Linked DNA regions of Arabidopsis thaliana. The protein of the gene in region 1 interacts with the protein of each later gene in a biochemical or structural test. Each region holds a gene or a part of one and is shown on either strand. Other genes may lie near its edges.

The links.
Region 2: the proteins of PRL1 (region 1) and KIN11 form a complex in vitro, tested with the Arabidopsis thaliana proteins (one study listed by BioGRID).
Region 3: the proteins of PRL1 (region 1) and MOS6 form a complex in vitro, tested with the Arabidopsis thaliana proteins (one study listed by BioGRID).

Annotation. Positions count from the first base shown.
Region 1 is NC_003075.7:9,019,989-9,030,830, forward strand, and holds PRL1 (pleiotropic regulatory locus 1), read left to right. Parts: upstream 1-3,677; 5' UTR 3,678-3,786; coding exon 3,787-3,920; intron 3,921-4,014; coding exon 4,015-4,039; intron 4,040-4,277; coding exon 4,278-4,383; intron 4,384-4,497; coding exon 4,498-4,591; intron 4,592-4,695; coding exon 4,696-4,761; intron 4,762-4,954; coding exon 4,955-5,039; intron 5,040-5,156; coding exon 5,157-5,249; intron 5,250-5,463; coding exon 5,464-5,527; intron 5,528-5,639; coding exon 5,640-5,725; intron 5,726-5,795; coding exon 5,796-5,897; intron 5,898-5,999; coding exon 6,000-6,083; intron 6,084-6,185; coding exon 6,186-6,246; intron 6,247-6,375; coding exon 6,376-6,442; intron 6,443-6,563; coding exon 6,564-6,641; intron 6,642-6,760; coding exon 6,761-6,825; intron 6,826-6,939; coding exon 6,940-7,017; intron 7,018-7,282; coding exon 7,283-7,455; 3' UTR 7,456-7,820; downstream 7,821-10,842. Other genes in the region: AT4G15890 (binding protein), read left to right, coding at 1-117, 366-857, 1,019-1,110, 1,189-1,276, 1,366-1,480, 1,604-1,736, 1,835-2,009, 2,086-2,757; DI21 (drought-induced 21), read left to right, coding at 8,669-8,751, 9,050-9,281; SWEET17 (Nodulin MtN3 family protein), read right to left, coding at 10,754-10,842. UniProt on the Arabidopsis thaliana protein: Pleiotropic regulator of glucose, stress and hormone responses. Also regulates cytochrome P450 CYP90A1/CPD.
Region 2 is NC_003074.8:11,125,946-11,136,280, reverse strand, and holds KIN11 (SNF1 kinase homolog 11), read left to right. Parts: upstream 1-4,175; 5' UTR 4,176-4,324; exon of another isoform or gene 4,325-4,472; intron 4,473-4,767; 5' UTR 4,768-4,770; coding exon 4,771-4,963; intron 4,964-5,092; coding exon 5,093-5,277; intron 5,278-5,371; coding exon 5,372-5,554; intron 5,555-5,649; coding exon 5,650-5,781; intron 5,782-5,878; coding exon 5,879-6,064; intron 6,065-6,139; coding exon 6,140-6,229; intron 6,230-6,314; coding exon 6,315-6,398; intron 6,399-6,481; coding exon 6,482-6,622; intron 6,623-6,758; coding exon 6,759-6,989; intron 6,990-7,274; coding exon 7,275-7,388; 3' UTR 7,389-7,661; downstream 7,662-10,335. Other genes in the region: AT3G29170 (transmembrane protein (DUF872)), read left to right, coding at 1-41. UniProt on the Arabidopsis thaliana protein: Catalytic subunit of the probable trimeric SNF1-related protein kinase (SnRK) complex, a central regulator of cellular energy homeostasis, which, in response to seemingly unrelated darkness, sugar and stress conditions, activates energy-producing pathways and inhibits energy-consuming processes.
Region 3 is NC_003075.7:948,499-958,519, forward strand, and holds MOS6 (ARM repeat superfamily protein), read right to left. Parts: upstream 5,193-10,021; 5' UTR 5,105-5,192; coding exon 4,889-5,104; intron 4,517-4,888; coding exon 4,417-4,516; intron 4,327-4,416; coding exon 4,235-4,326; intron 4,132-4,234; coding exon 4,000-4,131; intron 3,874-3,999; coding exon 3,688-3,873; intron 3,598-3,687; coding exon 3,434-3,597; intron 3,347-3,433; coding exon 3,268-3,346; intron 3,194-3,267; coding exon 3,065-3,193; intron 2,975-3,064; coding exon 2,847-2,974; coding exon of another isoform or gene 2,843-2,846; exon of another isoform or gene 2,756-2,842; coding exon 2,386-2,755; 3' UTR 2,048-2,385; downstream 1-2,047. Other genes in the region: AT4G02140 (uncharacterized protein), read right to left, coding at 1,312-1,494, 1,587-1,742; AT4G02160 (cotton fiber protein), read right to left, coding at 6,603-7,154; AT4G02170 (cotton fiber protein), read left to right, coding at 9,628-10,021. UniProt on the Arabidopsis thaliana protein: Binds to conventional NLS motifs and mediates nuclear protein import across the nuclear envelope. Acts as a cellular receptor for the nuclear import of the virD2 protein of Agrobacterium, but is not essential for Agrobacterium-mediated root transformation.

The DNA.
Region 1 (10,842 bases):
GTTTGTCTTTTGCAAACAATCTCCAATGTTTCCCTTCAGCTGCCAGCAGAGCCTGCTGCAGATCTGGCTGACAATTTGCTGAAGAAAATCGAAAATTTTAACCTGCATTCTGCTGAGGTAATGATAAATATTTAACCTGATATCTTCTATATAAAATCAAGCTCATGTTTTGAAAGTACAGAAAGTTACTGGTTTTTGTCTAGAAGGATGTATTCTTTCAGATTTTGATATTTTTTTGGTACTTTTCTGTAACCTGAAACTTGAACGCTTGAATTGAGCAGATCATTATTCACTGGTTTGAAAATGGTTGCTTCGTATATGGTTCATCTATCTTCATGAACTTAGTCAATGCCATTGAATGACAGGTCGATGCACATGTCAAAGCATTAAAAACTTTGTGCAAAAAGAAGGCAAGCACCTCTGAGGAGGCCGATATGCTTGTCAAGAAGTGGGTAGAACAAGTTTCATTGAAAGCATCTAAGGTCACTGAGAAGTACATCGAGGGGGTTTCCAGTCATAATCATTCTTTTGTTACACCAGCAACACTCGGAAGTAGAAGAAGCAAGAGACTGGATACTGTGTCCAAGAAATTATCAAAAGCAGTCACAGCAGTATACACCATTGGATCTTGTGTCATTATATATCCTTCAGCTGACACGACCAAAATTGTTCCGTTCTTACATACTGTCATCACTTCAGGAAATTCAGACTCAAAGCTGAAAAACAAACTGCCGCAAGCTAATGTTTGCTTGAAGCAAAAAGCTCCTCTTCTCTATAGTCAGTCTTGGTTAACCATGGCGAAGATGTGTTTGGCTGACGGGAAGCTTGCTAAAAGATATCTCCCTCTCTTTGCACAGGTCTGTCTGCATTTGCTGATTCATGTGTCCATTTTATCATTTTGATTATTTCTGGAAAGGAAACTTTTCGTTCCAGGAACTTGATTCATTGGATGGTAGTCTCCTTTGTCTCTTCAATTTTTTTTAACCTATGTGAACCCGTTGATGCCTTACTCTTGCAGGAACTTGAAAAGAGTGATTGTGCAGCCTTGCGTAACAATCTTGTAGTAGCGATGACAGACTTTTGTGTTCACTATACAGCCATGATTGAGTGGTATTTCATTCACAGAACATTAATTTTTCAAATGTTAAACATGATTGCGACATTCTAATGGTTTGTTTACCTGGATAGTTACATACCGAAGATTACTAAACGTCTTCGGGATCCTTGTGAAGTTGTTAGAAGGCAAACCTTCATACTTCTCTCAAGGTTACTACAGGTATTGCTATTCTCCACAGATTCTTTATCTTCTGTTTTTAAAAAGTATTGAATTGACAATGAATAAGCAGGCTTGTTTTCTTGATTCAGAGAGACTACGTGAAATGGAGAGGAGTTCTCTTCCTTCGATTCCTTCTATCGCTAGTGGATGAATCTGAAAAGATACGTCGACTTGCAGACTTTTTATTTGGAAGCATCCTTAAAGGTATGAGAACTCACGTGAGCAACCATGAAATGCATTCTTTCATTCCCATGTTATTGAAAATTCTTACAGAGAGACATGATCTCTAGGATTTTTGATTATTGTTACGCCCCATGTTGCTTATAGTAAAGGCGCCACTTCTAGCTTACAACAGTTTCGTGGAAGCTATTTATGTCTTAAACGACTGCCATGCCCACACTGGCCATAGTAATCCAGATTCTAAACAATCAAGAACAAAGGATCAAGTTTTTTCTATCAGGTACTTGTGTTAAAGTTATATAGTCTATGCTCATACGCAAACTTGACATTTTGGTGTGAATGATCTTAGTGATTATCTTTGTTTCATTTGTTCTGTAGAGGGAATGATGAAAGGGCTAGGTCTAAAAGAATGCAGATCTACGTTACTTTGCTTAAACAAATGGCCCCAGAACACCTTTTGGCCACATTCGCCAAGTTATGTGCAGAGATCCTCGCAGCTGCTTCTGATGGAATGCTCAACATAGAAGATGTCACTGGTCAATCAGTTCTACAGGTAACTTCCAAAATGGCTACAGAGCCTTTTTTCTTCTTGTGATTGCCGATTTTTAACTCGTTTTGTCTCGGTGTAGGATGCGTTTCAGATCTTGGCGTGCAAAGAGATCCGTTTATCAGTTTCCAGAGGAGCATCGTCGGAGACAGCAGATATAGAGGAAGAAGGTGGAGATGCAGCAACTGCAAAAGGAAGGGCCATAACGCACGCTGTTAGAAAAGGTTTGATTCAGAACACGATTCCAATCTTCATTGAGCTCAAGAGGCTATTGGAGAGCAAGAACAGTCCTCTCACAGGTTCGCTCATGGACTGCCTCCGTGTCCTCCTCAAAGACTACAAGAACGAGATCGAAGAAATGCTTGTCGCTGACAAACAGCTTCAGAAAGAGCTTGTTTACGATATGCAGAAGCACGAGGCTGCAAAGGCAAGGTCCATGGCTAACCAAGGGGTTGCCTGCGGGACAAGTCATAGAAACGGTGAACCTGAAGCATCAGCAGCAAGCGAGGAGAATGTTAGAGATTCGGGATTGGAATCAAGAGTGGTTTCTGCGGCTGCTGATGTGGTGGCGGCTAAGGCAGCTAGGTCGGTGTTGAGAGAAGTGAACGGTGGAGCTGCAACGCCGCCTCTGAGCGCAATGAGTGTTCCGAAGCTAAGGTCGAGCCGTGGAGTTAGCCAGAGTGGTCGACCATCAGCTGATGTGTTGGAGTCTCTGAGAAGAAGACCAACTTTCATGTCTGATGATGAGAGTTAGAACTTAAAAATGAGACTGTAGAAAATAGCTTTTGCTGTAAATGCATGACTTCGATTTTTCTTTTTGGGAGATTAGATCGAGACTCTATTAAAGTCTAAATCGTATTTATAAACCGCATAAGACACTAAAACCTGGTGTGTGTGTGTGTGTGCGCGCATTTGTTTGCTTGCTCATGTTTGTCCTTGTGTGATAAATCCATCCCTGCCCTCAAATTGATTTATGTGTTGTATGTGTTGATTTTAGTGATAACATCTCAAAGTGATTAAATATTTTCAAAAATGCTATTTGATGTCTATAACGGCTTTAAAACTTTTGCAAGTTCATTAGAGCTATCTCTAGCACATATATGGCGCTTAGAGATGTTACGAATATGTAAGACTGATTACATATCTCTTTGGCTTAATAAATATAAGTATTTGTGTTGAACTCTTTATCTTCTTCTTGAAGATGTCTTATGGGAAACATGTTAAATGGATAGTAAATGAGAGATTCGAAAATATAGTGTGAGCTTCCTTCTTTGGTTTATGCATTCTCCATGTGGGGGGCAAGGTTTTTGAAGATTTATACTTTTGTGGCAAATCTCTTGTTTGAATACTCCATGGGAGTCTCTCATCAAAACTATGCTGCAAAATATTTGAAAATTTATAAATCTATTGTCTTTGAGAAAGTGTTACAAAATTTATGACCTCAATAATATTGCATGAAAACTTTCATACATCATTTGGTATATGTATGTTTAAGAAAAGGTAAAACCGTAATTATAAAGAGAAAGAAAATACAATATCTTAATACATATCAATCTAATTACTCATTAACCATATTAAGAAAATATGTGTCTTTATTTTTTCCTTTTAACATAAAGCTTAAAAAGAAGATTTGTAGCCAGAAAAATTAATTGTGTTCATTTCCCTTTTAAAAGAATTTTTCGGCGCAACAAAATCGTGAAATTGATATAAATAAACTCGAGATTATTAATATAACCCTTTTTCACTTCACTTCTCTTTCTCTCTAAACCCTAAAAGAAGAACGATGCCGGCTCCGACGACGGAGATCGAACCCATCGAAGCACAGTCACTGAAAAAGCTCAGTCTCAAATCCCTCAAACGATCACTTGAACTCTTCTCTCCCGTCCATGGCCAATTCCCTCCTCCTGACCCGGAAGCGTTAGTCTTCTTCGATCCCCAATTTTCGATTCGAATCTTCATTTTCTTCACTAAGTTTTTATGATTTCTTCGTTTTTTTTTTTTTTTTTTGCAGCAAGCAGATTCGTCTCAGCCATAAGGTAAAACATTGAGTCTCTCTTACCAGTCTTTAGAAATTTATTTCAGTTATTCGCTTTTAATGTCTATTGATTGGATTTTGGTTTAAAGCTTCGAACTTTAGGTTTATTCAGGTTTTTCCATAATTGTTCTAAATCTTCAGGTTTTGTTACCAATAATAGTAAAGATGGTTGATTTACTTAGACTCTCTCTCTCTCTCTGTTGTGTATGTTACTGATTTTAGAAGTTTTCTTTGTACAGATGAAAGTTGCGTTTGGAGGTGTAGAACCTGTTGTGAGTCAACCTCCACGTCAACCTGACCGCATCAATGAGCAGCCAGGACCTTCAAATGCTCTTTCCCTCGCAGGTGTTTTTCATATCACTATGTCTTGGTGAAAGATAAAAACTTGTTTCTTGTTTGCTATTTGCATTCTTATTTGTATTGGAAGGGATAAAATCATCTGCTTGATGAATTCTGCAGCTCCTGAAGGGTCTAAGAGTACGCAAAAGGGTGCGACAGAGAGTGCTATTGTTGTTGGTCCAACTTTACTGCGTCCAATACTGCCTAAAGGCTTGTAAGTGTTATCTTTTGTTGTTGGTTTCGTTGATCTGAATGCTAATTGATGGTTCTACTTTATCGTGAGGATGCTCATAAAAGAATTCGGTTCTCGAATTGAAGGAACTATACAGGTTCCTCAGGGAAGAGCACCACCATTATACCTGCAAATGTATCTTCATATCAAAGGTTTTTTTCTCGTCCTCATACTTGCTTTTCTTTATCTGGATTGCAATACATTAATGGCAGCTCTAGGTAGTGTAGGTAGTTCATGGGCATGCAAATTAGACTTCCCCCAATCTGAATTTTTTTGGTTTGTCCTTATAATGTAGCTTCTAATTCTGATTCCTTTTTTGTTGTTGCGTTCCTTTGCGTGTTACAGAAATCTGTCAACTGCTGCATTAATGGAGAGAATACCAAGTAGATGGCCCCGGCCAGAGTGGCATGCACCATGGAAGAATTACAGGGTAAAATCCGTGGCTCAGCATTGTTGCTGCATCATACGGATTTTGGTCTTTTGTTGGTCTCCAAAAAACTCTGGTTTGAGGAGTTACTTAACTTACGATTAATTATTCTTTTCACAGGTCATTCAGGGGCACTTGGGTTGGGTCAGATCTGTTGCGTTTGACCCGAGTAATGAATGGTTTTGTACTGGTTCAGCTGATCGTACCATCAAGGTAGCAGAGATGATTGCTTATTCAATATGAATTGTATTTTTTCGAATATGTTTTCTTGTTATACTTATAAGTCATGATACAAGACTTCCCTTCTATGGCTAGTTACTGGAGCTTAGTTTAGTGCATTGCCAAAAATCCACTACTTTGGCGATTGTAGAAGCAGTTCCGACTTTGGTATGTTTACTGAATTTATTACTTGTGTTTTATTCACTAGATATGGGATGTAGCAACTGGAGTTCTGAAGCTAACACTTACTGGGCATATCGAGCAAGTACGAGGTTAGCCTTTCAAATCTGTTCTCGTTTATTAATATTTGTTAGACTTTTCAATAAATAACACTCTCGGGACAAGTTACAAGTTTGGGCTCTTTTGTTTTGAATTTTGTTACAGGCCTCGCTGTAAGCAATCGACATACCTATATGTTCTCTGCTGGTGATGACAAGCAAGTCAAATGCTGGGACCTTGAGCAGAATAAGGTTACAACTCTATTCTCTTCATTATCTGGATTTCTCATATCTAATGCTCTTGGAATTTTTGATTTGATAGGTTATCCGATCTTATCATGGTCACTTGAGTGGTGTCTATTGCTTAGCTCTGCACCCAACTTTGGATGTTTTATTAACTGGGGGGCGAGACTCTGTCTGCAGGGTAAGGCAAAAATATTTATATCCATATTTATATATCTTCTCGTTTGAATTCTTGCACTTTGCTGGATTTGTAGTTTAAAAGTCCATGTTTACTTATTTGCAGGTGTGGGATATTCGTACCAAGATGCAAATTTTTGCACTCTCAGGACATGACAACACCGTTTGTTCTGTATTTACTCGTCCAACAGTAAGTCTCTTTTAATATGGACTTGTTGTTATGGTTTTTGGATTTCTTGCTGAATCTTTTTATAATAGTAACTGGAACTCACTTTGATCTGTGTTGTTGCAGGACCCACAAGTTGTCACCGGATCCCATGACACGACCATTAAATTTTGGGACCTTCGATATGGTATATCTTATCATTGTAACCATTGTTTGGACTTAAAATCCATATTATTTAAATCCTTCCTTATTTGATTATCAGTTGCTGCAAATATATGGTTTCATTTGAATAATGCTGTATTATTATTATATGCAGGAAAAACAATGTCAACGCTAACACATCATAAGAAATCTGTCCGAGCAATGACCCTCCATCCTAAAGAGTATGTGTAGTCGTACTGAATCTACTTTTGTGTATCGTGCTGAATCTACTTTATCTTTCCAATAGCGAAGTCTTTGCACCTAAACTTTTCCTTTATGTTATCTCTTTAATTTTCTTTTTAGGAATGCCTTTGCTTCTGCATCAGCTGACAACACCAAGAAATTTAGCCTTCCAAAGGGAGAGTTCTGCCACAACATGCTGTAAGTCTCTGCTAGATAATTATATACTTTGCATCTCCAGTGCTTTTGAAATAGGAGCTGTCATTATTAATTATGTAATTGATGTGTTTGAACAATGTTTATCTTTTTCCATGGAAAAGTTCGCAACAGAAAACCATAATTAATGCAATGGCTGTAAACGAGGATGGTGTGATGGTCACTGGAGGTATATAATCATTTCTGATTCCTTTCGTCCCTGTGATTGTTTTCCTTTGATAGTAAAATGGGTGAGACATAATCATTTTCAACTGAAACTGATTCTATATATGTGTGAATGAAGGTGATAATGGAAGTATATGGTTCTGGGACTGGAAGAGTGGTCACAGTTTCCAACAGTCAGAAACTATCGTACAGCCTGGTACGTACATTTATAGCTTTCATGGTCTTTTGCTCCTGATCTCCTTGTTATGGTAAGATGTAGAAGTCTCGGTATGTTCATACAACGTAGTCAAGTTTGAACCCTGGTAAAGACTCAAATGTTAGAAGTGTATGATACTATGATTGAGCTCTAGGGAAACCAAGAAAGTTGACGTAGGTTTATGGTTTATGTAAATGCCTATAGCGTCGTCTTACAAGCAAATAGTAAATGGGTCTTTAATTGGATGTGGTTGGGCATATGGCAGGTTCCCTGGAGAGTGAAGCGGGTATATATGCAGCGTGTTATGATAATACAGGTTCAAGATTGGTAACATGCGAGGCTGATAAGACGATAAAGATGTGGAAAGAAGATGAGAATGCAACTCCAGAAACTCATCCTATCAATTTCAAACCACCAAAGGAGATTAGGCGCTTCTAAATAACTTGTATCTGTAACTCAAAGCTCTTGTTGGAATCTCACTAATCTCTTCATGATTCTGTTTCCTAGATCAACTTTTGAGAGGGGACCTTTGTTTTGTGGTGGGGAGGAAACAAAAGGCCATGTACTTTATGTATTTTAAGGGCATTTGTAATTTTTTCTATCAACAATAATAGATCATGTATTGTTGTTTATGTTGAGAGAACTTTGTTACTTTTATCTCCCGTCTCTTGATTCTCTTCGTTAGTACTTATCGAAGATCTATCATGATTTCTGTGCAACCAAATCTGTGAAGTTTTGTAGGACGAATCTAAGTATTTGATCAACAACTTATATCTCTAGTCTCCACCACTGAAAGTTTTCAGCCTAAATTTTGGCTCGGGTTGTTTGGTTTATGAAGCTTTTATAGTGTAACTACACAGCTGATACGAAGAAACCAAGTGTAAAAACAAAACAGCTGATACGAAGAAACCAAGTGTAAAAACAAAAGAAAATATTGAAATAGTAAACAATTTGAATGGAAAAGATCCACTAAAAAGAGACGGTGATGGTGAGCTCGTTTGCGCGAAGACACCTGTGTGTTGGTTTTGCAATACGTAAGTGACACGTTCTAGTTATCATCATTCAGATCTCACCGACCTCTTCTGATCTTTTGTACCAAAGTATACTTGTTTATTCGCAGATCTTTTGTAGACTTTTCACCTTTTTAACTGCCAGTATCGTTTAGTGGAAGACGTACATTGGTTTTTACGTCTTCTATTTCTTTCAATTCAATCATCAAACTATCAAAGCATCAAACTATCATAGCTTTCTCACTAGTCACTTGTGGGTTTCTCGAAAACAGGCAAAAACATAAATAAAACCCCCCAAAAAAATGAATTAGCCATTTACTATTTTCACATTTCAGTTTTTAACCTTACTTTGGCAGTAAGTATGAGCAGTGGGTCCACAGTAAGGCCCATGAGCCCAAATTTCTCTGTCGTGGTCTATATAAGTGCGCCTAACCCAAACCCTAAAGTCTCTCGAAAAACCATCACCGGGGAATCTGACGGCGGCTTAGTACCGGCGGCTACTGCAAAAAGGATTGTGTTCTTCTTAGGCTTGATACTTGCCTTGGGAAGAATATAACAATCATTTTGCGGTAGCTAAAACGCTAAGCTCTATCGTCATATCTTTATCATTGATACTTATTTGATATCTAAATATCATAAAAATGGCCGCTCGTTCACTCTCCGGTGCCGTTAAATCTCTTTGCTCCGCCGCATCCGGAAGTCTGTCTTGTTCCATTGTCTTAAGGTACTTATGTTTGAACTGATCCCATTTTTTCAGGTTACAATATATAAACATTTACACACTCTTTCATTTGCTTAGATCGTATAAAGAATTTATAATTCTAATTGAATAATAGTTGATGGTTTGAATTTGAGTGAAGGCTAAAGATTGATCTATCATTAATAAACGTAATTAATTTACTTAGATCTATTAAAGATAATTATGCATGATATTATCACGTTATTTTCTACGTTTTCGTTATGTTATTTAGTCATTTGCTGTTTATATAATCTTACCTTCAAAATAAATTATTGGAATGTAGGAGGAGTTACGTTGCTACATCGCAGAATGTAACAGCAGCAGGATTGAGTAAGGGAGGTTCCACCAGAGTTATGGTGGGGAAGATGGAACAGAGAGGTTTAGATCAAGAGGCAGAGTCTGCTTGGGGACCAGATCCAGTTACTGGATACTACAGACCTTCCAATCGTGCGGCTGAGATTGATCCAGCTGAGCTCAGAGAGTTGCTTTTGAAAAACAAAGCAAAGTCTTTCTGAGAATTTTGATTGGTTGGTTGACTTGGTTCCAGTGGAAGGTTGTCGTAGGCGACTATTCTGATTATGTGTGTTTATGTTTGTCTTGTATCAACTATTAAGTAAAAATAAAGATCACATTAACTAGTTAAAAATATAATATCTGTTTGGATCGACTAACACAACATCTTTAGTATAACAGTGTCTTAAATGTTTTAAGAGATAAATGGGGATATACGAAAAATAGAAAACGTTGCTAATTATGACTAAATTATGATACTTAACAACGTCAACAACAACAAAACAAGATGATTTCACTATGGCATTATATTTTGTGACCACAATCTTATACTTGTTGTTGTTGTCAACATCAAATACAACAATAGAAAATGATGGTGCTTTTTCATACCCCATATAAAATTTTGTTGATTCTTCATGCCCATAGTTTTGTTGAGGCTGCTAATGGCCTAATAGTCTTAGAAAATGCAAACGGACTATTGAGGGTTGAGAATATGCTGTAATTCGGCCCACTTCTGGGCTAGTCGAGTGAATACGTAAGGATCAATCATCAATACTTGGTTGCCACAATAGATTATGAATCAGTGAAACTGTGAAGGGTTCAAGATCTTAGTATATATCATAACTAAATATTATCACTTTGTCCACTAAACTTAAAATGATAACATCGATTCTATGCTATAATGAGATACTGAGATCAACGTTTTGGCTGCTTTTCCTCCTTTGGTCTTAGCTAGTGGTGCTATTTTAAAACTTTTCAGTACTTTTTCGTTTTAGGTTTACTGATGTGTTTGTTATCGGAAGAGTTTTGTCTCTGTTCAATTTTTTCTTAGAAAATATTTTTTTTTGAACATGTATTATTTCTCAACATTTGTCAGTCTAAACGTGTTGTCACTCACATTTCTTCCCCCAACAAATATCAAACATGTTGTCACTCTCGTTTTCATATATGAAATTGAGCATCAACAAGTATTGAGGAGGACATATCCCTGAGCTAGTCATTATGACCATGTTGTTGTGTCTGAAATGAATATCACGATCCGAACGCTAAAGGGAAATGTCAAAGTCCGAGAGACGAGTAAAACTGAAATATGTTTGCTCCACAAATACCGAACCGTACGTACGTCTGTATGACTGTATACGCTCACTTGCAATCGAACGTACACAACGACACAAGACGTTTTTTTACGAATAATATCTCACAAACTCAACCGTCAAGAATCTCAAAACTTATCCAAACAAAAAAGTTACTAAGCCTCAAAACATAGTAAACACTCCATTCTCTTATCTTCGCTTAACAAAAGATGCATTACAATAACAATCCCTAAAATATGTAACATCTTCAAATTAATCTAATTTTGTCCAAAAAAATAACGTACACAAAATCGCACACCACAATAATGTAACAAAAAATATAAAGATTTGTATTTATAAGACCCAAATTAATTAACAAGCTCTTGACATAAAAAAAAAGGGATTTAAGAGAGGAGAGGTTCAACACGTGATGTGAGGCCTTCCTCTTCATCTTGAGCAATCTCACTTAAACCGTTGCTTAAACCAACCGGTT
Region 2 (10,335 bases), on another chromosome or scaffold:
GAGCTGAAGGGTACCGTTTTGCAGCCATTCCCTCTTACTGAACTCAAGTAACTGGAGAAGTAAAGAATATTGTGCATAGAAAAAGTTTTAGAGATTGTAATCCAAAAAGTACTACTATACTTAAGCTGTTTGATGAATCTACTGTGTAGAATCTCCTCTAGTTGAGTTTAGACAGATAAAAGCTTGGATTATAGAGATACAGATACTACATAGATTGTTATATTTTGTGAATCTTGTTGAATCTCTTTTGTTATCAAATTATGTTAGCCCTTTGGAACTGGGGTTTTCGAAAAACAATTTAATAAGTTCATAACAAAAACATTTGTGGTGATATAAGAATTTAGAGAAACAATTAGGAAAAACAATTTATCGATTTGTGTCACTTTTTACACTGGTTCCTACTCCAAGTAGGAACCGGAAATTTTTTTATTAATTTATAGAGGTTATTAATTTATAGAGTATTAATTTATAGAGGTTATACTGTATATACATTTTTTGAGGGGTAAAATGTCGTTTAATACATGAACTTTCAAAAAAGTGGTTATTAAATACGTGAATTTCGAATATGACTATTTAATACATGTAAAAATCGTTGACCGAGATTTTACACAAATTTAATCGTTTTTTTTTTGTCATCCGTTTTTAATTAGAGCTCAAAAGAGTCATTTATGTGGAACGTTGTTGACTTAATCGTTGACTAGGCCAAAATCCATTTGACGTTATCTGGCGTAACAGACTCGATAACAGCCGTTAACTAGTCTCCGTTAGTTCCCAATACGACATCGTTTTACCGTAACCAAAACGGGAAATATGTCATTCAATACTCTAATTTTCAAATTATGACCGTTTTATACATCAACTTCACATGTAGTCATTTTATACATACCGCTATTTAACAAAACTTGTAGAAAAAGGATGTCATTGAATAGAAAAACCTCTAACTCTACCCCAGAATCTGAAAATTTATTTACCTCTTCACTAGCTATCTTCATAAGTAGCTTGCTTTATCGAGTTCAAAATATAATAACACAAATCACATAAAGTTTAAATAATTGATCGAATGATTTTAAGAGCTAATTAGTTAGACTATAAATTGGTGCTTTGAGATTTCGAACAGAAAAACCAAAGTCGAGCTTATTATATAGCTGGTAAGAACTTTGAACAACATTCTAAATCCCCTATATATTAATTGAGAAATACTTTTTAGAAATAACCTTATTTTCATGTGTAATTAAAGAAAATGTCATGCTAACATGTCGTTCTCACATAGCTTCTCAATCCATTTAATTATACACCTAACATTTATTAGAATATTTACAGATTTGCATTAGTTTACTTATATATATATTTTTCAAATTAATTTATGATTTTTCTACTCAATTATTCAAATGAAATTTCAATCAAAATATGCAATTAAGAGATACAAATCTATACAAGATAAAGTATATAGAAATATGCAATTAAGACATACAAACCTACATATATTAGAGCGAGACCGACCCGGTCCATAAAACTTCTAATCCTATATTTTAAAGCCCAATTTGACCATAATAGGGCTACATGACTTTTCCGGGCTTTTTATTTCGAATAAACAAACTTATAATTTATAATATCTCTGAAAAAGAAAGAACATATGTATGACATGAGTCAATCAAAATTTAAATAACCACTAAAACTAAGTTAATTTAAAATAAAAGTTTTGTTGAACCAAAAAAAAAGGAAAGAAAAAGTTTAAAAACAAAGAAATAATCCAATAAATTGTTTAAACTTATACTAAATAAAAATATAAAATCAGAATACTTCAAAGATGTAAGGCACAATTAGAAAACTAGATTTAGGTTTTTCAATTCAAATTTTTTTGTAAAACAATTTTCATATTAACAAAAATATTTAACAAAACAAATATCAAAATATTTATGTAGGACTTTTTGTCCGATCCGATCCTAGCCGGACTAAGCTCCAAAAACATTTAGTCTAAAAGAGCAAATTTTTCAAGACATATATATATTTAACCCGAATTCGCTGTTTTTAGAGTAAGGCCAGGCCAGCATACGAGCATTATCTCTAGTTGACATGCCTAACTATTAGGCTCAACTTTCCACATACATTTATAAAACACTAGTGTTCTAAAATACGGCTTATACGGTGTATCTATACTGTACAGTTGGAAGCAGTACTGTATTATGGTTATACAGTTGTTAAATACAATGAAAGCTATATACGAGTATATACAATGAATTCTGTGTAAAAGGTGTATTAAAAAAAATGCTCAAAAACAAAAACTATGGTATTTTATTGGCAGGAAATTTATTTGGAATATTTTAGGCAAAAAACAATTTCCAAATAAGGGTAAAATAGTCATTAAAAATTTACTGAAAGTAGAAATGAAAATGTCAAATATGAAAGGGTATAACTGAAAAAGGTAGTGTGAAAAGGGCATTCTCAGCAATTATTCTACATTTGAACTATCTATTTTATCTTAATAAACTGTTTTAATTCTATAGACTACATCCATCTTATTGATGATATTTAAATTTTAAATAATAATTCATATACTTTTCAGTATTTAATTTAGTATTTCCTTAAACCAAATTTCAATCTTACATATTCAATTTTGCAATACAATTTAAATATCTATTTTATTATATAAAAATACAATTTAATTCGATTCCATACAATTCATATACAATTTGATTTTGCAATACAAATACAATTTTATTCTATACACTCCATCTTATTGTGTTAGTTTTCCTTCTTAGTTAAGAAAATTTTAAGTTAAATTTTTCGATATAGAAATATAAATTGGTATATGTATTTGTTTTTGTTAAATTTCCTATTTCTTTTAGAAAAAATATTTAAAAAATCTCGATTTTGCAATACAATTTAAATATCTATTTTATTATATAAAAATACAATTTAATTCGATTCCATACAATTCATATACAATTTGATTTTGCAATACAAATATAATTTTATTCTATACACTCCATCTTATTGTGTTAGTTTTCCTTCTTAGTTAAGAAAATTTTAAGTTAAATTTTTTAGATATAGAAATATAAATTGGTGTATGTATTTTTATTGGTTAAATTTCCTATTTCTTTTAGAAAAAATATTTAAAAAATCTCGATTATGCAATACAATTTAAATATCTATTTTATTATAATACAAATACAATTAAATTTGATTGTATACATTTCAAATACAATTCGATTTTGCAATACAAATACAATTTAATTCTATACACTCCATCTTATTGTTAGTTTCCCTTCTTAGTTAAGTAAACTATAACTTATTTTTTTTAGATATAGACATATAAATTAGTATATGTAAATATTTGTTTTTGTTAAATTGCCTATTTCTTTTAGGAAAAAAGTAAAAAAAAATCCGACACAATATCAACATATGAACGATTGACTTGTTACGTGTCACGATCAGTTGAGTTATTAACTTTAAAAACTCTACTTTATATAATAAAATGCGTCTGAAACTTCTTAATTTATCCGCTTTATCATTAGCACGCTTTTATATATAGAAAACTAGATTTTAACCCGCGGTATACCGCGGAGACAATTTATTTTTTAAAGTTACTATATATAAAAATTTGCAAATTATATTTATCTATAAAATATTTTTATTTTATAGTTTACGATTGTTATTAAGTAACGTCCTGTCAAACCCGTCCCGCCAATCCGTCCCGTAAAAAAAATTCACTGATTTTATTTATGATATGTTTATGAATCATTGTCTAAATATTTTTTAATTTTGTAGTAATTAAATGCTATCTAATATCTCTGCGGTTTGATGATTATAATCGAATTATTATAGTCATGTAGAAAAACAATATCAAAAATGATAATTTTGTAGTAATTAAATGATATTAAATATTTCGGAAGTTTTATTTTAGTAACTAATCGTGTAGTTAATGTGGAAAGATTTTGGGAAGATTGTCAAATATTTAATTTAAAGATTTTCTTTCTAATTATCAAAAACAATTATTAAATGCGAGTGGCAGCCACTGTAAATAAACTCCAACTCTAGGATTTATTTCACAAAGTGGCTGCAAAAATGTATATATAGATCATAAAAACAGTAATATAAAAATTTTAAACCTTAAAAAACTAGTTTTTCAAACAAAAACAGAAAATGGGCAAAAAGGCCCTAATTTAAGGGCTTGCAAATGGCAATAAATGTTTATCTGGGTTTTGTGGTTTCTTGATTCGTCATTACCAATTTTCACCATGAAGACTTAAAAAAACCTGACTCAGCTCTGCGTCACCTACGAGTTGGAAATCTGACTTCCCCAAGAATTTCTTCAGATTACATCGTAATTTACAATTCTGCCCTATTTATACCCATCAATCTGATTCTCCTTGTTTCTGTATATTTCTTCGCTCTTTGTTTGAACAATTTATCTGGGTTTTTGATTCTCGGATCTACTCCAAGACGGTTTTCGAAATTAACAAGCTTTTCAGGTAAATTGACTTTTTTTTCTTTGTAAAGGTTTATCAATTTTGTCTTCTAAACTCAAACTTGTGAGTCTCTTGTTTGGTTTCAGACCAAAACCACCATTACAAAGTAGTTATGTCGGTGGTTCTTGTCAGTTTTCTTACAAGCTTATGGTTGGTTTAGATTAGATTTGATGAAATGAAAATTGAGTTGAAGAATGTTTTTTTTTATTTGAGCAAGTTAATATGTTTACTGATGTTTTTCTATAGAGAAGTTGCTAAGAGAGCTTACTTATGAGTTTGATGTTGAATTGGGACACAGGAAATGGATCATTCATCAAATAGATTTGGCAATAATGGAGTGGAATCGATTTTACCGAATTACAAGCTTGGTAAAACTCTTGGAATTGGGTCTTTTGGGAAGGTGAAAATAGCAGAGCATGTTGTCACAGGGCATAAGGTTGCTATCAAAATCCTTAATCGTCGTAAGATCAAGAACATGGAGATGGAAGAGAAAGGTATATACAAGCACCGTTACTTTTAGCTTTAGTGGTTTCTAGAACAAAAGCTTTGATAATCAAATGTTTCTGCTTATTAGGTTTTAGTATGTATTTTTATCTTAATGTATGTATATTTCTTCTTTACAGTGAGGAGGGAGATTAAGATTCTACGGTTGTTTATGCATCCTCATATTATTCGGCAGTATGAGGTAATAGAGACCACGAGTGACATTTATGTTGTGATGGAGTATGTCAAGTCTGGAGAGCTCTTTGATTATATTGTTGAGAAAGGCAGATTACAAGAAGATGAGGCTCGTAACTTTTTCCAGCAGGTTTGTTTTCTCTTTACCATAACCAGTGTGTTTGTAGCGTATCATGTCATCTTTGAGTTTGAGTGTTGTTTGTGTTTGACTCATATCCGAATAGATAATATCTGGTGTAGAGTACTGCCATCGTAATATGGTTGTCCATAGAGACCTGAAGCCTGAGAATTTACTATTGGATTCGAGGTGTAATATTAAGATTGCAGACTTTGGGTTGAGTAATGTTATGCGGGATGGTCATTTTCTAAAGACGAGTTGTGGAAGCCCCAACTACGCTGCTCCCGAGGTATATAGTTTAGTAAAGTTACTGAATTGTTTTTCACCTATGTGACTATGTCTCGTTTCTCTTATGAGTGTCTTATCTCTTACTTCTTGTTGTAGGTTATATCAGGTAAATTATATGCTGGACCTGAAGTAGATGTATGGAGTTGCGGAGTTATATTGTACGCTCTATTATGCGGTACTCTTCCTTTTGATGATGAAAACATTCCCAACCTTTTCAAGAAAATTAAGGTACTGTACGTTATACTTTGATTCAGCTAAAAGACTCTTCTTAAATGGATTCATATGTATGTGAAGTAACTTATCAAGGTGTTTTTTTTCTCTTTAGGGTGGGATTTACACTCTTCCAAGTCATTTATCATCTGAGGCTAGAGACCTGATCCCAAGGATGCTTATAGTTGACCCGGTGAAACGAATCACCATTCCTGAGATCCGTCAACACCGTTGGTTCCAGACTCATCTCCCTCGTTATCTTGCTGTCTCTCCACCGGATACAGTAGAGCAGGCTAAAAAGGTTGGTTTCAGTGCCATTTGGAGATTAATAGAGTTCACTTGCTGTGATAGTAACAATATCTCTTATGTTTTGCAGATCAATGAGGAGATAGTTCAAGAAGTGGTTAACATGGGATTTGATAGAAACCAGGTTTTGGAATCTCTACGCAACAGAACACAAAACGATGTATGTAGTTTCCTGTCTCTAATGCTTTTAATCCCCGAAACTAGTTTCCAATAGTCACTGAAATGCCATTTGCTCCTTGTACCAGGCTACTGTTACATACTACCTGTTATTGGATAACCGGTTCCGTGTTCCAAGTGGCTATCTAGAATCCGAGTTTCAGGAGACAACAGTATGTGTTTTTCTTTCCTCTCAGTAGATAGCTTTCCAACATTTTTGACTAACATGTTCACCTTTTCAACGTTACTCATCTAGGACAGTGGTTCCAATCCTATGCGCACACCTGAAGCGGGCGCTTCACCTGTAGGCCACTGGATTCCTGCACATGTGGATCACTACGGGTTGGGAGCAAGATCACAAGTCCCTGTTGATCGAAAATGGGCTCTTGGACTTCAGGTTTGTTCCTGATTACTGATTCTTTTTGTTCCTCACCATAAAGTCTTCTGAATGCAACACACAATCAGATATCTGTACTCTTTGCCTCTACATAGCCAAATCGATAATCATTCTGTTACCTTGTTGTTTTGAACAGTCTCATGCGCATCCTCGTGAAATCATGAATGAAGTTTTGAAAGCTCTTCAAGAACTCAATGTGTGTTGGAAGAAGATTGGTCACTACAACATGAAATGTCGATGGGTTCCTGGTTTAGCTGATGGTCAGAATACTATGGTCAACAATCAGCTGCACTTCAGAGATGAATCCAGCATCATTGAGGATGACTGTGCCATGACTTCACCCACTGTCATCAAATTTGAACTTCAGGTAACTATAAACTCACACATACATTTGTATCAACAACATTCCTTGGAGAAAATAAACAACTGCCTAGTTCGGTTTGTTAGGGATATGAATCGATCAACGGGGTTTACATTCGTAGAATTGTGCTGGAGCAAAGACTAAGATCCTGATGTTGTTTTATCCCACTAGTAGTAGTTCAACAAAACTAAACCAGCTAGGACATAGACTAAAACCTTCTTTAGAACTTGAACCAACTGTTTTCGAAGAACAATTATACACTTTCTGAGTTCACTTTTGATTTTGAAACAGCTATACAAAGCCCGGGAAGAGAAGTACTTGCTGGATATACAGAGAGTTAACGGTCCGCAGTTTCTCTTCTTGGATCTATGCGCCGCCTTTCTTACAGAGCTTCGTGTGATCTGAATGTTTTAACCATTTGTTGAGACATTTTTTTTCTTTCATGTTCAATGGTTTGTAATAGTAGAGAACATAATATAATATGTGGGTGCAGTGTTTACTTTGCCGGGTTACTTTTATATACCTGGATTCTAAGTTAAACTCTACTGTAATAGTAACTATCCTTTCTTCTTTTTGATGGTTTTTAAGGTTTGATCATGTGTACATAACTTAGCTGTTTCATTCTAACTATTGTATTTCTCCTCTGATGCCAATTTTATACAACGTTTATATCAGACACATTATACATGTCATACCTAAAAACATTGCACGCAGAGTCCATCAAAATTCCATTTCACAAAATTCGGCTACCCAACTTAAGTCCTTAGCATCAATACAAGATGTGGAACACGATATTAATACAGAACATTGGAGAGCTACTTTGTGTGGACAATGCTTCTTGCAAAAGGAGTAAATAGGTCGCCGTCGGACAATAATATATCGGGCTTCAAGGATAAGTCCACCCCAAACATACATTGAATGTGTAGGGTAACACTACAGTACTCATCACACATAAAACCGCTCCTTCGGATTTATTTTGCTGATTTTTCATCATCAGTCGGTTCGGACCGCAAACTTCACACCAATACATCGTTGTACTTATCTCATCCCCATAAGAAAGAGTGAACATATGTTTATCATGCTTATACATTACCTTATGAGGTAATGTAGCACATTTGAAACACAAAGAAAAGTAGTCACACTCAATGCAATTGAATGTTTCCTTTCTGGAATAATGTCCTAGCTCTTTGCAAACTGAAAAATGTCTTCGCTTCTCTCCCGGTTTGGTTGTTAGGAATAAAGGATGCAAATGACTTGGATGGACTAGTGGCTCAGAAATCTTGGCGCATTGCATGTGTAGCAGAAAACAACATCATTCTTTACTACATTCATAGAAGAAACCAGCTTTACACAACCAAGGACAAGCAAAACATGTATCCTTATGATAGTCCATAACACCGTCATAAATTTCTGCCACCTTCGCAGAAAAAGTGTGTATAGCCTTCTTCTCCTGGTTGCCTAAATTTCTGCCAATTTAAGGAAAAACACTTCCACTTGTTATTCGTGGGCCGCAAGACTTCTCCAATCACATGGATTATTCCTTCTTTAAAAGTTACTTGTGCTTGAGGGCAAACTGAAATAAGTTTCTTCAACTTTGAATTTTTGAGATGACGAGGGAGAATATATTGGGCCTATGGGCTTAGTCGGTTTTGATATTTAGAATAGGTTAACTTTATGCTCAAGTTGTAACCTATATATAAACCAAGCAATGTAACCTAAAACCCTAAGAGATTCAGTTTATACAAACAAGAGTTTCTTGACATGGTATCAGAGCAAAACCTAAACTACTCAAGGGTTTGTTCGATTCTATGATCTAAACTTCCGCTAAAACAACTCTGTTTCTTATTTTCTGTTTTTTAAAACTATCTCACAAAGGAGAAAATCATGGCCACGAATTCTGCTACGTCGTCGGCTCTGATAACCTCCACCACCAATCGCCGTACAATATCTCCATACGATTTAACTTCCGGTGAGAACCCCGGAACCGTGATCTCCAAGCCTTTGTTGCGTGGTCCAAACTACGACGAATGGGCCAACAACATATGCTTGGCTTTGAAAGCTAGAAAGAAGTTCGGTTTTGTCGACGGTTCTATACCTCAACCACCAGACGACGATCCCGACTTTGAAGACTGGATTGCTAACAACGCGCTTCTTGTCTCTTGGATCAAACTCACGATTGAAGAAAAGCTCTCTTCGTCCCTATCTCACATCAATGACTCTCATGAACTCTGGACTCATATTCAAAAGAGATTTGGAGTGAAAAACGGCCAGAGAGTTCAAAGATTGAAAACTGAATTGGCAAATTGCAGACAAAGAGGTCTTGCTATCGAAGCATATTACGGCAAACTAACTCAGCTGTGGGGGAGTCTTGCCGATTACCAAAACGCAAAAACAATGGAGGAGGTTCGAAAAGAGCGAGAAGAGGACAAATTGCATCAGTTTTTAATGGGTCTAGATGATACCATCTACGGAGCCGTTAAATCAAATTTGCTTTCACGTGTTCCTTTACCAAGCCTAGAAGACGCTTACAACGCTTTAACTCTGGACGAGGAATCCAAAAATCTAAGTCGCACTCATGAAGAAAGATCAGATGGCGTCAGTTTTGCTGTTCAAACCAATTCTTCTAGGAATTTTTCTGACAACAGAGGAAGCTCTGTTTCATGTACCATCTGTGGACGCACCGATCACATTGCCGACAACTGCTTCAAGAAAATAGGCTATCTAGATTGGTGGGAGCACAATCCGAAGTCAAATTCCAGAAATAAAAATGGAAACAATTCAAATAAGGGAAATTCAACTTCGGGTGGTGTTGGCCGTGGAACAACAACCTCTTCGGTGGGCTCAATGACGGGCAAAAGCTTCGGGACTGGTCAAGTTAATCATGAAACCACTTCAAACCAGAATCAGTTGCAAAGTTTTGGTGTCAACACAGCCTTATCTGCGTCAACGTCCTCTCTCACATCCGCAGATCGCGTCGGGATAATTGGTTTGAGTAACGACGAATGGGACTCACTAGTGCAAACACTTGCAAACAGGAAACTCAACTCAAAAGAAAAATCAGGTATATCTTTTCTTGAGTCATGGATTATTGATACAGGAGCTTCTAATCACATGACAGGCACTCTTGAATTTTTAATCGATGTTCGCGATATGGCTCCTGTACTCATCAAACTTCCAGATGGCCGTTTCACCATGGCTACTAAACAGGGTCGAGTTGTTTTTGGTTCTGCGCTGTGTATTCAAGATGTGTTTTTTGTTGATGGGCTGCAATGTCACCTTATTTCAGTATCACAGTTAACTAGAGAACGTAGTTGTGTATTTCAGATTACTGATCGGCTATGTCTCATTCAGG
Region 3 (10,021 bases), 8.1 Mb from region 1:
AGAGATTGAGACTTAACTTCTTCTTTTCTTGGCTCAGTAATATAGCTTCTTTTTTGTCCTTTTTTTTTATAGATATATCTCAACATAGATTCATTCTCTACTAAAATGTGACAATATTATATTGAATTATTGACACATCAAATTGAATTATACTCTTACAGTTTTCTTACCACTTAGTTTTGAGTAAAGTTGCAAAAATGTATGTGATCTTGAGTAAAGACCATTAGTTCTGCAAAGAAAACAACAAGAGCAAGTATGTTTTCCGCGTAGCCAACCGTTATTATCTTTGTAACTGTCGCATTTAAAAGATTTTGCTCCAAACGCCGTCTTTAAGCAGTGATTTTGATCATGTTTGAAACAATTTGATACCAGAAGATTTAAGCATGCTCTTTATATTTTGCTCTTTCTATTTAAGACTTTGGAGTGGAGTATTTGATGTTGCATATGGTTGTCAACTTTCCAATATAACTATCTGATTCATGTGTCGTACGTAACACCAGGGTCCAGGGATGATTTTCCATTAATTACAATACTCTCTCATGTCAGAAGACGAGGACCCAACAACAACAACAAGCACTAGCTCATCGTGACTTGAGAGCCGCCCTGTTTCACCAAACTGATACCAAAGACCTCTTACTTCAACTAACTCACAACACCCGTCGTCGTCCTCAACAATCTCACGCCATCCACATAAATGTCCTACCTCCATGAGCACCAACGCAACAACTACCACTCCACAGTCTCACCAAAGTGGATACACAAGGTTCCCACATACGCTTTACCCAAGTCTGTTCAGGGTGAAAACACAAAGAGGATGTGCGTTAAGTATATGGAAGAATTAGTTTTTCAAAGGCGGACGAAGAGAGTGCACAAAAGTCTTGTGATTTTCTTAAAATGTTTTTTTTTGGTTCTATGTTGCACCCAAAAAAGCTCTCTTTCTATACTATTCTAAGATCTCATCAATATCAACTTTGGAATGTGATTCTCTTTAAAATTTACAGCTTGTAAGGATGAATACAACATATATAAGGAATCTTGGTGAAGAACAAAATCAAAACCCTTTTGGACCATGTGAAAACTGTCTTATCGTCAATTCATCATTTATGCTCGAATCAAATCTTTAGTGCATAATCTCATAAACTCAAAAGTACGAAGACACAACACATTTCAAATATAGAGTAAAGTAGTTTCTTTAATCCGAAGAAGTTAAAGTAGAGAGTGTATTTAATTAAATTTTATTCTCAAAGCTAATCAAAAGTAAGCATTTCTGAATGATCTAGAAGGCCATAACGGCTAAGGCGTTTGCTGCTATTAATTTCGTTTCTGTTGGAAATTGAGATCTGCAGGTAGACCAACGGGAGTAGATTCAAGCTTGTGTGAAGTATCTCTGGGATTTTTTGGCGGAGAAAGCGGTTCCTTTACAAAACCGGGTGGTCGAATATCCGGTACATCCTCATCCGCTGGAGTCTTCGGGTTCGCTACATCATCCAAACCCTACATCAACAATAACAACATATCACAAACAATTTAGTTGTGACTTGTGACAGCTAAGCTTGACATATATAAACAACAAAGTCAAAATATACCTCGGGGTCTGATGGAAAAAGACTAGGCTCGTCTCCATCGTTACGGGCATGAATCTCTGGATCAGCGGTTCGACCAGTAGAAGAAGATAGTCTCTTCGCATGAAGACGACGACCGAGAGTAGAACGTGCTGCAGCAAAAGCTGGTGAAGACAGCATTATATCTGGCTATGTTGTTGTTCTTGTTGTCTGTTGGATATAAAACAATGAGAGTGTTTTAAATACACGAATTAGTCACATAGCCTAAACCCTAATTTCTCGCATATAGAAATTATGACCATGATAATAACCACTTAATCACCACTAATCTCTCCTATTTGTAATTAGACACCAAAGTACCCAATAAAAACTCCACATGCGTATATTGCTCTTGAAGTTTTGACCGTTGCCTCAAACCTCCACAAGCGTATATTACTATTTCTAGCTTCTCTGTTTTCTAAAATTGCGAGTAAAAATGATTAACTATTGAATAAAAATGTTTCTGGTTTAGTTAAGGCATAACTACGATTTTGTAATGGCACTAATATATGAAAAAAGGGAACTTTGTTGAAAGACGAGATGATGGCTAACACAGAATAATTGTTTCTCTTCCCCAAATGATTTAGTTATTGAGACAAACTTCCAAAAAGAAAAGAAAATCGTACTATGTTTCTTCATAGTTCATGTCCACGAGTTAAGGAGTGGGCATGAAGAGATAGAGAAGATTGATATTTCATCTTTGTGATGTTACCACTTTCGTTCGATATGTGGCTTACTTAAAAGTCCAAGCAACTTCTATGACCCAATTCAACTATTTTACCTTTCAAATAAAGTTGAATTGACCAGGAGGAACATTGGTGCTTCCGAACTGGAAACCAGATTGTGGAGCATGATTCTCGTCGTTGCCTTCTTCTTCATTGTCTTCAGTCCAAAATGTTTCGAGGATCTTCACGGCTTTGTCGTAGATATCATTGTTGTCGTGACTCTGAAGATTCTCAATCTTCTCTAACCCTTCTGCTTCGTCAATCATTTGAGCGTAGAGGTTGTCTTCTCCTGTGTGACCTAAGTTCTTCTCTGCTTCTCCAACCACGAGAATGTTCTCTAGTGCTTCTAAGCAAACCGTTACAACTTTCAGATCTGGGCAAGTAAGGAGATCGCATAGAGGTTTGATACAGCCTTGGCTCACCATAAACCTGAGAAGAAACAAACAATAAACACAGACGTGTTTTAGAAATGACCATTCTTTGTTAAGGAAACATTTCGTTTCGGTTTTTATGGTTTTACTTGATTTGATCATGAGTGCCACCAGAAGTAGCATTTGATATTCCCCAAGCAGCTTCTTTTTTTACTTCGAACTCTGCACTTTGAAGCACCCAAACAAGAGACTGGATTATACCTGCATCAATCACTGCCTGCACATACGGGTTCGAATAAAATCAGACACAGGAAACTTCAATTTTCGACTTTCTTGTTAAATGCCATATATTATAAACAAAACTCACTTGTATCTGATCTGCATTTCCAGCTGTAATGTTGGAGATAGTCCAGCAAGCTTCCTTCTTGATACTCTTCTTGTAATTGTTTTTTAGAAGGTTCAAAAGACAAGGAAGCGCTTGCTGGTCGAGAACCATCTGTGTTAGGAAAATAAGTTAGAGACATTTGCTTCTGAAAACTCGAAATCGAATGGTGAATGTATTATATGCACCTGAGTCTGTAGATCATCCCCGGTTACAATATTTCCAATGGTACGAAGAGCAGGAATCAGCACTGATGGCGACGAATGACTATACGGAGAAAGAGGAAGCACATAAATCAGATAACATAATCATGCCTGGCAATAAAAATTAAAATGATCACTATCAGATGCTTACCCTAAGAGCTGGATGAGGCGAGGAACAACTCCTGCTTCAATGACTGCTTGTATTTTGTCGTTTGAATTATCCGAGAGGTATGACAGAGCCCAGCATGCATCTGTGAGAACTTCTTCATCCATTGATTGCACAAGGCGCTCAAGAACTGGTAAAGCTGGTTGTGTCTGCTCGAAAAATGTTTTAAGTAACAAAATATCAGAAGCATGTTAAAAAATATTGTGGAGATTCAATAAAGTGTGTATATTTAAGGAAACCTGTTCAAATGCGGGTGGGGGCTTCCCTCTGCAGAAGTTTGATAATGTCCATGTAGCATTTCTCAGCATTGAAAGCTTTGTATTCTCATTGAATTGAGACAGAAGAGGTGTCATGGCACCGTAACTTAGGACTAAATCCCGGCATTTTGGTGAGTCTCCAGCAACATTTCCCAATGCCCAAACAGCCTATACTCAGTCAGGGAAAGACCAGAACTCAGAATGGTAACAGTCTCAATGAATTTCCACTTGATCCTAATGTCTAAGTGTTTCTTCTGTGACAATAACGATAACAGTGAGGATTTAAACATATACCTGTTCGCGGACATCTTCACTAGCAGAGCTGAGAAGTTGGATGAATATCGGGACAGCTCCACTTTCAATGATGACATTTGTGTTCTCTGATGTCCCTGAAGCAATGTTGGTGAGCGCCCAAGCTGCCTCAAACTAAAACACATTGCAGAAGTAAACAGCAAAAGCAAGTTAACAAATACATCAAACTAGTAACTATCAATATATCCAAAAAAAAACGACTGCAGCTGCGACTCACCTGAAGTTTGGGGAAGTCATCCCTGGAAAGAAACTTCACAACACGAGGAACAACACCAGATTGTACAACTTCATTGATAGGAGGATTTTGTTCTACAAAAGAAAAAACAACTGCTAAAGACTCTAACCAAAACACTGATTGTTATGTACTACTAGTAACGATCAATAACATAAATCACAAACCAATAGAAAGCAGTTTCCGCAAGAGATTTGTTGCCTCCAATTGTGAATTGCTATCCTCTGACCAGATTCCAGCAACCATAGCAGGTAGATTATCTTTTAACTGTAACACGAAGAGACACTATCATAGTCAAAAATCTCCTCTAGCTAAAGTAAATTTGATGATCTCCGTTGAGATATCAACCCTAATTCTCTTTACATGTCAAATTCAACACCGCTCAAATTCCCAGTCAATTAAACAGACATTAGTAACAAATACTCTCACCAAACAACACATACACATCGCAAGTTTTTGCAATCAAATACAAAATCTATGACCAAAAACAAAGAAACATCGCAAGAACTTCAAATCTAGAACAAATCGATCTCCAATTAGAAATTCATATGAAACAGAGACGATCTAATTGATCAAATCGGAACATAAAATCAGAAAAAACTAAAGGTGGAATCGTAAACAAAAGAAAGAATCACATACTTGGTTCGCTGAAGAAAGATCCTGTTCCGTTTGTCCCGTTGCTGAGCCAAAAGCCATAGAAGACGTAAATCTCTTCTTCTGCAAATTTTCCTCTCTCTTGTTCTTCCTGATCTCAACCAAGTTATCCTCTCGCCTCCGCCGTCCTTCCTCCGCATCGACCGCTACTTTGTACCGATTCCGTCGCACCTCCGTCTTCGCGCTAGGTCTGAGAGACATCGCCGCTAAAATCGAATCGAAATCGGAAGAGAATTAACGATCGGAAGATTATTTAAACACGCCAAGTTCGATTAATGAGAGAGTGATAAGGGTTTTGGAGTTTGATGCGAGTGTATTTATACAAGAGCGTGTACTTAGGAGGCCACGATTCAGGAGACTTGTTGTTAATCCAATATTGCCCCTAAGTTTTATCATTAATAACGAACCTGCCACTCATATTTTTTTTCTTTTTTGAAATTTGAATCTTAACGTCTCTCTGCCTTTTTAGGTATGTATACACCGACTACTAATTATGGATTTGTTTTCCTTTATTTTCTCCACGCAAATATTCTTTTCTTTTTCTGCAGCAGCAATACTCTAATTTGAAGAGGCTTTTTAAAGCCCAAATAAATTATTACATAGGCCAAACTTGGCTAAAACAACGTAATTTACAAGACTGTACTCTAATTAAAAGGGGTAAAAAGATCAATGTGAGCAACTGAGCATTATGAGAACTTTACTAATTAGATGCTTTACTATTCAATGCATCTTGGAAAGACGAGAACAACCATATTGCTTGAATTCCTTTCAAATGAGAGAACAACTAAATTGATTTCTTTCTATTTGTGCCATCTTATAAACTTGAGTGAACGACCTCTATTCCCCTACGCAGTTTCACATAGTACCACAACTACACAGATTTAGAACTTCGTTTACAGTCAACACAAAATAGAAGGTAAATTATTATATCCTCCTAAATCGAAAGTTAGAGAATTTAGTCTCCACAAAACCAAATTTTGTAGTTTATTATTAGGTTAACGTCATAAACCTAATGCCAAACCAAAAATCTAGTATAATAAACCGAATTGCAACCGATTCAATTTACTCTCCACATCATAAACTTCTAATCTCTCTTCTTTAGCTTCCATGTCTCTGATTTTCTCTTCAAGCAAATTGGATTCTCAAACCAATAGGAAAATTCTAAATTATATTGGATTGTACCCATAAGTGAATTATAAACTTCTACTTAACTCATTATTGGGTTTTTGGTTCAAAAGAAAAAAAAGAAAAAAACGAATTGCTTGAAATATGACAACAACAAAGGCTTGTAGCTCAGAGTCATGTATATGACACCCTAGGAAAACTGCCAAAGAAGCTCAGAGTCATGTATATAATTTGCGTACAAATTCATCATCTACTATATCACTCACAAGAAGCTAGCTGCAATTTGGTTCTAGCATTATGACTTGAAGATGATATATAGTAAACCAAAATGACATCAGTTTTATAAATATATTTTAATATAGTTTGCGTACAAATTCATCGTCTACTATAAAAGTATACAATCAAGACTAACTGAATACAATATATATATCATTACTTAAATCATCGAAATAATAGACGAAAAAAAAAAATCATCGAAATAATCAAAGACAAACTCTGTGCACGTCTCCATGCATATATGTATACTCATGTAATATGACATTATGCTTCAGTGAATAGAATTACAATGTGCGATTTAGACCATCATCATCTCTTTAGCTTTGTAACGTTCTGTATAAGCCTGATTTTGCATCCTCATCTGTTCATAAAATCTCACAATAAACTCCTCAGCTTTCGCATCAATCATCTCATCACCTCCATCATCATTACCATAATTTTCATCATCATCATCATCTTCATCAAGACAATCCATATCTCGCAACGACTTTGCTGATCCATATCCCGAGATTCCCGAAGAGCAAGAACTAGACGTCGCCGTGAGAACCTCAACCATCTCCGATACCTGATCGTCACTACTCGCCGGAACTTCATCCGTCACCGGAGAAGATGATGGTGGTAGTATCGTAATATTAGACGACGATGGAAGTACCGTAACATTGTCGTTTTTCAACTGCCCAAAGGACTCGACAACTCGCCGCCAAAACCCGTTATTAAGCGGCTTGCTCCTCCTCCGACGCCGAAGCATGTATAAAACGACACCGATCACGTGAAAACCACGTGATCGTTTCTTCTTCTTCATATTCTTGATCTCTTCTTGGCCACCATTAATCTGATTTTGAATTTCCATATATAAGAATTAATGGTGATCAAAAGGATATTCAAGATGGGGAGACTTTTCCCTGCGATGAGCAGGGAAGAAAGATTTTGAAAGAAGATCCCAAGGTTTCTTGCATACAAACCAAGTCTATTTATACTTATGAAAATAAATACATGCAACCACTATTTTTAAAGTATTGGGTGAAAACTATAAGATATGAAGAGTTTTGGGTTTAATGGTGGAAGTAAAAGCTGTCTCTTAAGAGAGATTTCACGTCATAACTAGAAAAGACAGCGTGCTCTTCCTGTGTTAATCGTTAGTTACGGGAACAAGAAGTTAAAGAACAGCTAATTATTTTGGTAATTGCTTCCTTCTTTATTTTATTTTTGGGTTCAAAAGTTGGTGCTTCCTTTATTTACCTTTTAAATGTGGATATAGTTCGGAAGCGTATAACAAACCTTTGCTTATTTGCATCAAGCTTCCGAGGCTCATTCACGACTTACACGAACTATCACTTAAAAAATAAATATAGTCTGCATCGCTTAATTTGAATATTAACATCAGTTATAGTTGATGTACATAAATTTTACATTACTTATATAAATGAATTTAGAATTGGTGATGCAAATATTTTGCCTCACTTGAACTAAATATTTATATTGCTTATTATAGTTAATAGAATAAAAGTTTTAGTTTCATGAGCTCAGGATAGAAATAAAAGAAAAAGAGATTTTCCCTGTTTATGGATCACTTGAATAATGCTTGTTTTTTTGCCCTAACGGATGATTAAGAATTATTCTTTCCTCATGTTTCAGTGATTATATTTCATAATAGAAAATTAAACAATACCTGATATAAAGGAAATTTAACCAATCATAAACATCATAAAATACTATATTATGTTTTTATAAAATACATGTCAAAACGGCGCTTAGAAATTTTGTTTTATAAAACAAGGCTTGGGTGGTGCAAAGACTTACATATGAAAATTGTTTTTTTTTTAACATCATTGTTGTTCTTTTTTTGTTTGTCGGTATCGTTGTTAATCTTGTTTCAAAAGAATATCGTTATTAATCTTTGTAAAAAAGAATGGTTATATATATATATATATATATATAATTAAGAATATAAATATTTTATTATAAATAAAATAGATTAAGAATTACAAAAAATAGATCTCATATTATATATGGTCCAAAGAAGACTAACTAAACAATGACGTTGTCAAAATCAATGAAACGATAAAACAACAAATATCTACTATTTTACATATAAAAAAAAGATACATGAATCTGTATATTTCTAAGATCCGACAAAGAAAACGCACGTTACAGTATCTCTGGAAATGGAACACGGTTTCGTGGAAACTAGAAACTACAATAAGGAGACAGCCGCAACAACATGATTCAACGGCACACAACTAAACTAATCAAGCCTTCCTTATCTCCCAAGTTTTTTTTACTAGACCTCTAATTACTTTTAATTATAGTCCTTCTTTAATTAATCATAATGAAAGTTCCATACAATATTTATGTATTTGTTTTCTTCTAAGAAATTAATTACCTTCGCAAGTTCAGTAGTGATCCAGCTTACCAGATTATTATAGAGTTGCAACTATTCGTTTATAATATTATTCAAAATATAATTGCATTTCGTAAAAGACAAAACAATTTAAACTCTTTCTAGTCAGTCATAAATTCTCTTAACTCTTTTGTTATTTCTTGGTTGTAGGCTTGTAGCATTTACACAATTTGGTAAACCATTATGTAACGTAATTAACATTTATATTTCAATAACAATTTTTATATATAAACAATATCTAAACGTAACACATCTGGAGACAGAAAACGTGAAACTAATAATTAGGTGAAACCAACAAAGAATACTAAAGATGTTGAACGTATTTACTTTTAAATTAAAAAGCACAACAGACGAAATAAATCGAAAAATGCGTAATTGAGAAACAAAACGGCTAAACACAGCTAAGATATGGTCCACGTCCAGCCGTGACCCACATGAACTTATTTGTAATTTTTTCGTAAAATATTATTAACAAATATTTTTTTCTTTTGAAAAATTATGATAAACAAATTTATATGATGTATTATACATAATTAATAATACATATTGAAGCATGTAAGGTTTAAAAAAAATTCGGATATTAGTGTCTATGGAATTTTATTACTTTTTAAATCAACTATAAAACTATCTTTTTAAAATAATTCATACAAAGAAATACTTTAATTAAGGATTAAATAATTAATGTCAGTCACGTAGGATATTATATATTTTTGGAGTTAAATGTGATAATTTATTTTTATTTGTTACTCCGCGTTGGGCAAAATTGCAAACAGCAAGCAAAAAGCTGCATACCTTTGTGTATATAATACACATACACACACAATCATTTCATGAACCATAAGCAACACACAACAAAAACTTCATCATCAAGGAAAAAGAAAACTCATCTCTGATCAAAAATCGAGAGTATAATAAATCATCAATGGCGGATTCGTCTCAGAAGAAAATCAGAAGAAACGCGATAACACATAAAGCATGGAGTCTCATGAAGATGGCTCTTCTATGGGGAAGAAAAGGTGGAGTTTTCAAAAAATGGCCATTGTTCGAACTACGTAGCTTGTTCTTCAAGCATCTCAAAGCCCTAGCTCATCATCATAGTAACGGTGACCGTTATTACGGAGAACGCCAGCTTTCCTTTGATGAAACGCCGTTATTTAACGTCAAGAAGAAGATGCATTGTCCTACTTCGTCTATGAGGTTCCTCCTCCTCCCCTGCTTTGCTCCTCCCGTAGATTTTGACTATGACTTTGAAATGGACGGTCAAGATTATTCCGACGAGGTACAATCGTACGGTTACGATGAATCTTGTTCGGAAG